Linked DNA regions of Caenorhabditis elegans. The protein of the gene in region 1 purifies or fractionates together with the protein of each later gene. This does not show direct contact. Each region holds a gene or a part of one and is shown in the gene's direction. Other genes may lie near its edges.

Region 1 (3,756 bases):
TCGACAATGGTGTCCGTCCACCGGCAGAATGAGAAGAAGCATTTGTCGGGGAAGAGGATGTAACTAGCGTTGGTTCGGTGGGGGGAGATATTGCTTTGAGAGGAGAAAACGAAGGTTGACAAGAAGAGTTGAGCCTGAAGATAAAGAAGAACACCACATTTTTGTTTGATTGTCACATCCGACCGGACTACTACTTTTTTGCGTAATTTTTAGATTGTATGATTTTCTCTAATTTCACCTCTATCGAATTGCACCTGACCTTTCCGACACTTGAGAGATATGTTGTTCTTATTTTCTCTTTGAAAGTCCAAAAAGTTCGAGAGATCGCATTTCACACCATGTCCCTCAAGAAATGTTTCTATTATTCTTATCCCAAAAATTTGAAACATGAAGGAGTTTTTTATATTTTAAAACATATTTTGTATATTGTTTTTAGTTAGATTAAAAAAACATATGTTGTTGCTGCAACAGTTAGAAGTTTAAGTATTTATTCTCTGTTTCATCTTTAAAACAGATACAAATTGTTACAATTTTTACGGGTCCTTCTATGTGTATTAAATAATTGTTTCCAAAAACAAACAACATTGAGGGAAATTAAGATGTAAAAAAATAAAATAGTGGAATTGTCAAATACCATATTAAGACACCTTGCCATGTTGACACTTGATATTAAGAAATATTCAACAAATTCTCCTTTTTAAGTACTATATAATTCATTATGTGTGTACTAATTAAGTCAGGAAATTTAGAAAATACTTTTATACTTGTAAAATTATGAAAAACATGAAAATATGGTGTAAACCGTTTTTTTTAAATTCAAACCTCTTCACTTTTTACGTCTTCATTTCTCGACATTTAAAATCTCTGTTTTAACTCAAAAATTCACTTAGGATTCGAACTAATTGTTAAAAAAGAAAACATTAAAAACTAAATGGAACAACGAAGATCTTTATGACACTGATACTCAAATTTTACATCCCCTCTTAAGTTTACGACCCCTCTCCTCCTTTCCACTGCTCATTTCCTCCGCAAATGTTTTCCTAGCGATGTTCGTTTTTTTTTTTCAATTCAGACGTGCTCAATTGCGAACTTCTTACTCGCGAATTAGATCGGCAATCTGATGAGTATGTTTTGCTCTGTAGATTGGCCTCGAAAAAGAAACCGCATCAACAAGAGATTGAGACAGACGGTGGCTTGTGTTATTTGCCATCGACATCAAAATCAAACGTGAGGTGGTTGCAAACTCATCTCCAATTTGCTCTTTTCTCATCAATTGTTATCAATATCCTTCCCAGACCCGTCGTCTTTTTTCTCCTTGGCCGACGACGAGTCAAAGGCAAAAAATGTGTCTTTGCTCTGTGTTTCTTGCGTGTCTTCTGTCACAGACTACTCTTCTGTGTGCTTCTTTTCGGTCTCCAACCCGCAAAAATTTCATTCATTACATCGCTTGTTGCATTTCGAGCACCTCCCGCTGGCCGCGCTCACTATCACTTGTTTCATATCACAATTTTTACATAATGTGGCTCACACCAGACACATGGCCCGCGTCATCCACCACCATCAGATAACCGCTCTTTTCCATCTTGTTAAGTTTCTCAGACGCGCAAAAAATGACTTCACTCCGTCAATTGTCTCCGTGTTCTCTCTTAAACGTTTGCTTTTTTCTAATCATATCGCAATCGCCATTACTCACAAACCACTTCCGATCCGCAATCTTCCCGTTGTCTTTCTATGAGAGATTTAGTGCTAAAAATAAATAATATTATTGATCATCTAAGAAGCTGTCAACTGGACGCATCGAGCAGTGGACGCCGGCGTGCAGTCATCTAAAGCACGATGCCGAAATCAGGCGCTCATCAGCCTCTGGTTCGACATGACACTGATGATGGTGGGGAAACAGGACAGTCCGTTAAGTCTCTAGCGGATGTTTCTGAAGAGGAAATTGATAGTCGAATGAGTAGAAGATCGTCAGTTATTGTACGTTTTCAAACTCGCTTTGTAAATTCTTGACAATTATGCAGTATTTTATAAATAAAAATTATTTAAAAAATGAATTACAATTTCGTAAAAACTAGAAGTGAAATAAACGTTTAGTTTTCATTTGTTAAGACAAAAACGTATGCTCTTGAAATTCACAGAAACAATCAAGGTGTATAAAAACTATCAATTCAAAAATTATATAGTATTGCTCTGAAGTTGTGAAAGAGTAAAAATGTTTCCAAGTCCAGATTATAACAGCTAACACTTGTTTCATATATTTAAATTAATTTGATTTTCAGGCTGATCTGCTTTCTCTTTTTCGCCGTTCCTCCAGTGTTCTTGTTCGACCACATACACGATTAGGAAATCCCAATTTTGACGAGTGAGTTTTCCAAAAAATTTATTCACTTTCCAGCATTTTGTTCAATTTTCACATTACAGTGACGATGACGAATTCGACGAAGAAGACGACAAAGAAGCTTCGAAAGATAGGATACTCAAGAAAATTCAACAAAAGAAAGAAATTATACAAAAATTACGTGGCCAGCCGTGGTATATGAAAAGAAAACGGCGGACGTTGAAGTAAGACCGCTATGAACATTTGAGCGAAACGTCAAAATCGGAAATTTCAGAGTAGCACAAAAACATCTACAACAGCAAGAAGCAAAAGTCTCGAAAGCAAGATTATACAAAGCAGAGGCTGGTCGAAGATTGACACAAGCCAGTCGATGGTTGGATAATCTCAAAATTTATTTGATACCCTGGGAAGCAAAGATTCGAAAAATTGAAAGCCACTTTGGATCAGTTGTGTCGTCATATTTTACATTTCATCGATGGGTTCTCGGAGTTAACATCACAATCACATTTATTATGTGTATGTTCGTAGTTATACCTGAGGTGAGCTTCTACAAGCTTATAAAAACTTCAACGCTTCAAAAATAGGGCCTCCAATTTTGAACTAAAGAAAAGTTTGATGTACAATAAATGCGGGAATTGTTCGCCCGGAAAAATTTGACGTCAGCACGCTTTTAATCATGCTAAATCAGTAAAGGAATTCGCGTCTAGAAGCGTCTAAATTCCAGCAGTTTTTGATGATCAAGCCAAAATAGAACATTCTGACGTGCACGAGATTTTTTAATGATGATATGTCTTGGTTTTACACCTCAGATTATAATTTTCAGTGGCTCGCCGACTCTCGAACTCAATTCGGTGATGACAGATACAATAAGACAAAGGCCATCAAAGTAATGCCACCAGCTGTTCGTGCTCGTGCCGACGAGCTATCCACAGTCTGGGACTTTGGGGTGAGTTGTAATGATAACAGATAAAACCAATGTTCAATGGTTTTTTTTTCAGGGCTACTTTCAATACTCTTTATTATTTTACGGTTTTTACTCGAAAGAAACGTTTTTCGGAGAAACAATCAAATATCGTGTTCCAGTGGCTTATTTTTTCTGCAACATTTTTATTCTAGGATTTTCACTTTTCATCATCTTGAGGAAGTGAGTTTGAAAAAAAAAAGAAAATCAGATAGAACAGAAAAAAAAACAAACTCGTCCTAATTAAAGAATGGCGGCTAACAATCGTCGTGGGACCTTATCATCAGGAAAAACGCAACAGTATTTATTCAATTGGAAAGCTTTCACAGGCTGGGATTATACTATAGGTGAGCGTTCAGTTTTTTCGAGATTAATTTTATATTCTGAAAATTTAGGTAATCCTGAAACTGCTGGAAATGTCTATATGGCAAACGTTATAAAATTTCGTGAAGCAATA
Region 2 (3,670 bases), on another chromosome or scaffold:
AGAAGTACCATTTTTCTATTTATTGTATAATTTACAGTGACGATACAACTCGTGATTGGATTCTCGAAGAAGTTCCAATAGAGACTCTCATTCGACACGTTGAAAAATCAGATGAACGAATTGCTCTTTGTGCACTTTCACTAATGAATTCAATGATAAGAAGATGTCCTGATGATGAAAAACGATTTGAACTTATTAAATCTTTAGAAGTCGTTCCATTCCGTAATGCTGTACACAGTTCTCTTCTACGTGGTGGTGGTGGTGTTCGAAATCTGAATGCTATTGAACAACTTGTTGAGGTTCAAAGGAGTCTGATTAGTGCATATGAAACTTCACCTCCTACTGATGCTGAAGTTCAGAAAATTCTTGATATTGAATCCAGTGAGGATGTTTCCGAGGAGATCAGAGAAATGTGGAAATCACAAATTGGGGAACACCGATGTGGACGGTTGGCTGCAATTTCGATGGTTCAATTTGCAGAAAAAAGTCCGCAAGATCTGAGAATGCTAATTTCGGAGAATACAATGAGGATTGAAGGAGGAAAATGGCAACTGATTCCAATGTGGATGAGGTTTTTTTGCAAACGTAAAGATGTTCTGATGATTTTTTAAATTCAGGTGCTGTGACATTGCCGCAGAATTGTTCAGAGTAATACCTGGTCGTGATGAGTTGGATCGTTTGATTGTAGTTCTCTTTTCCACGGAGACTCCATTTCCAGCTGTATTCGCATGTATTGTACACCTTTTCCATCGAACATGGCGTGAGATGCAGGCAAAAGGAGGTGAAATGGAGAAAGTTGCGTGTGTTGTACTGGAACAGTTACGGCATGTGCTGAAAAGACGGGAAATACAAGATGTAGAAGAACTATCTGCGGATTTGGAGACTTTTTCGTATAGGGCAATGCAAGAAATTTGGAGAGAGGAACAATTGGGAAAGGAAAATATTCAATTACATAGTGAAGCTGTGATGTAAGTCTGAAAATTCCAATAACTTATTCGTATACATATTTTCAGACAACTAAAATCGAAATTGCGGCCAAAAATGGAGGAATTGGTTCGAATAAATCATCTAAACTATTTGAAGTTAGGCGCCGTTTTTCGAAAACCACAGAAAAGTAAATCCCTCGCAAAGCTCGCCTTCTGGCATTGGAAGCTCGATGCATCGGAGAAAATGCTCACTATAACTGGATGTGATGGTGAGAACTATGTGGAAGGTGTGCAGAGAGATGATATTCGGCAAGGTTGGGGGAATATTGAATTAGTTCTCAAATAATAAATTAATTTATTTTCAGTTTGGATCAAAGATATTGCTGATGTAACAAATAATGATGAGATTGATAGAAAAGCAAGCTCATCTCGATTCACTTCTTCTCCATCTACACAAATGTTAAGAGGGATTCGTGTACAATTAAAAACAACAAATGATATGAAAGAAGGCGAAGTTTTAATGGCATTGACATCCGATGAAACTCAATCTGTTATATGGCTTGAAGGTCTTGCTGAATTGATTGGGAGCAAGGCAGTTAAAAGGTATCTAGACATTGGTTACTGTAGTTACAGTAACCTGAAGAATAGGAAGCCCCGAAAATACCAATTGAAATATTTTCAGTGAAACCGATGCAATGGTTGAACGAATGCTGAAAATGGAGCTACGAGTTCGCCTTCTCAATGTGAAACTCACGAACCCCGAGGAGAAACCAGAAATTCCACCGATCCCTGACGATATCAAAAGCTTTATTTCAAAGTTTTAATCATATTCAAGCTTTATCATTCTTACGTGCATTTTACCATATTGAAAGGCAAAACATTTCCATGTGCATAATAAATTTTGTAATTTATGCCTATTACTGTGTATTTAACTTAATTTGAATAACGAGCCATTAACTACAGGCCACTAACAGTTTTCTGAATCTCTTGAAAACAAATTTTTGACCAACATTTTCAGATGAGTGCTATAAAAGAGGTAAAATCAGAGCTCAGGCAGTTTATGAAGACATTGCTCGGAAAAATTTCGAAAGAAGAAACTCAACGTCAAACAGAGGCGGTTTTTGAAAAAATAATTGAATCGAAATGGTTTCAAGAGAGCAAGAGATTGTCAGTTTATGTTAGTACATCGGGAGAAATACAAACTGATTCGATTATTCAAAAAGCGTTGGAAATGGGAAAAGAAGTTTTCATTCCACAGGTAAAATTTATTTTGAAACAGATGCGCAATAGATGTTAAGATGTAGGCATGTAGGTAGGCACATAGGCAGGCAGAAATAAAGCAGGTAGGCCGACAAGAAGTAGGCAGATATGAGCTATGAATAAAGGCAGGCAGGCACGTAGCCAGGCAGAACTAAGGCACTTGCGAGGTAGGCGTAAAGTAGGCCCCTAGACATGAAGGCTGTAATCGTTTGTAGTAGGCAGGCAATTAGTACCTAGGCAGATATTATATATGAATCCAGGGAGACAGGCACGTACAGCAAGTATAATTTATTGAAGTCACAAATGTAAAAATTTCAGTTCACGAAGGGCTCAACTGCAATGGATATGGTTCGAGTTCCGGATCAAACTGCTTTTGACAATCTTCCTTCAACACTTTGGGGAATCAGACAGCCAGAACCGAAATGGAAATGGCAAAGCTATCATGAAACAGGTGTGACTGCTTTTTAATAATATAACTCCAATTTATAAGTACTTACAGGACCACTGGATTTGATCCTTGCACCCGGCGTTGCCTTCTCACCATATGGACTTCGTTGTGGTCATGGAAAAGGATATTACGATCGCTTCTTCTCCACTCATCACAAACATTTTCCAGAAAACTCCCCAAAAAAGATAGGATTGGCTCTTCGTGAGCAAATTATTGGTACAATTCCTATTTCTGAAACTGATGTTGAACTTGATGAGGTTATCTATGAAGGAGAAACTATTATTTTTGATACTATTTAAGGCTTCACACTCTAAATAATATTCCCGATTGTGATATTGAGATTTTTTTTTAAATTTCTCTCGCCAATTTATAAGTGATTTTTCAGACATTCCTCAAATGGTTTTGTGATACAATTTCTTGCATTTGTTAACTGAATAAACTTTTTTGAACTACAGTTATATATAATTTTTTCATAGATTATTCAGTCATTAGTTAGAAGCATTCTAGCCTTCCGAGGTGTTTCAATTTTAGGTCCCACCACGAAAACTTGTGGAGATGTTCTGAAATGCCCCATAGAACTGCATAGCATTGTCCCAAAAGCCTGTAAATATATCTGAAAACTTGCTCACACAAAACGAAAGGATTCAAAGGCCTGAAGACATTAATTAGCAAAAATTAGATACATTCAATGGTTTCACTAATATCACACAGTTCAGATAGACCGAGATGAGGACTGATGTAGTTAAATCGATATATGATAGAAGCCCTGTAATTTACATGAAGAGCAACTACACGAAACTGAACAAAAATATTCATTTAAAGTCAATACATAGTAATCATTGTTCACTCTCAAACTTGTTGAACACGAGGTCAATTTTGGTCTCCCGATCCGCACTGCAAATATTATTATTTCAAAAAGGTTATCATGATCAACATACCTTTGCTTTTTCTCCCTTGCTTGACGAGTGGTCACTCTGACTTCGAATCCCTGGAAAGCTTGAAAGGTGGAACATTATCATATATCATATACTCTACA

The links.
Region 2: the proteins of tmc-2 (region 1) and Y106G6E.4 fractionate together in Caenorhabditis elegans (co-fractionation; one large-scale study listed by BioGRID). This does not show direct contact.

The regions. Positions count from the first base shown.
Region 1 is NC_003284.9:9,301,946-9,305,701, forward strand, and holds the start of tmc-2 (Transmembrane channel-like protein 2), read left to right. Parts: upstream 1-1,778; 5' UTR 1,779-1,836; coding exon 1,837-1,977; intron 1,978-2,279; coding exon 2,280-2,362; intron 2,363-2,421; coding exon 2,422-2,562; intron 2,563-2,612; coding exon 2,613-2,877; intron 2,878-3,161; coding exon 3,162-3,284; intron 3,285-3,336; coding exon 3,337-3,482; intron 3,483-3,548; coding exon 3,549-3,646; intron 3,647-3,694; coding exon 3,695-3,756. UniProt on the Caenorhabditis elegans protein: Probable ion channel.
Region 2 is NC_003279.8:10,221,053-10,224,722, reverse strand, and holds Y106G6E.4 (putative 5-formyltetrahydrofolate cyclo-ligase), read left to right. Parts: upstream 1-1,944; coding exon 1,945-2,184; intron 2,185-2,504; coding exon 2,505-2,637; intron 2,638-2,685; coding exon 2,686-2,933; 3' UTR 2,934-3,081; downstream 3,082-3,670. Other genes in the region: ced-12 (Cell death abnormality protein 12), read left to right, coding at 38-571, 618-968, 1,014-1,240, 1,292-1,529, 1,609-1,750. UniProt on the Caenorhabditis elegans protein: Contributes to tetrahydrofolate metabolism. Helps regulate carbon flow through the folate-dependent one-carbon metabolic network that supplies carbon for the biosynthesis of purines, thymidine and amino acids.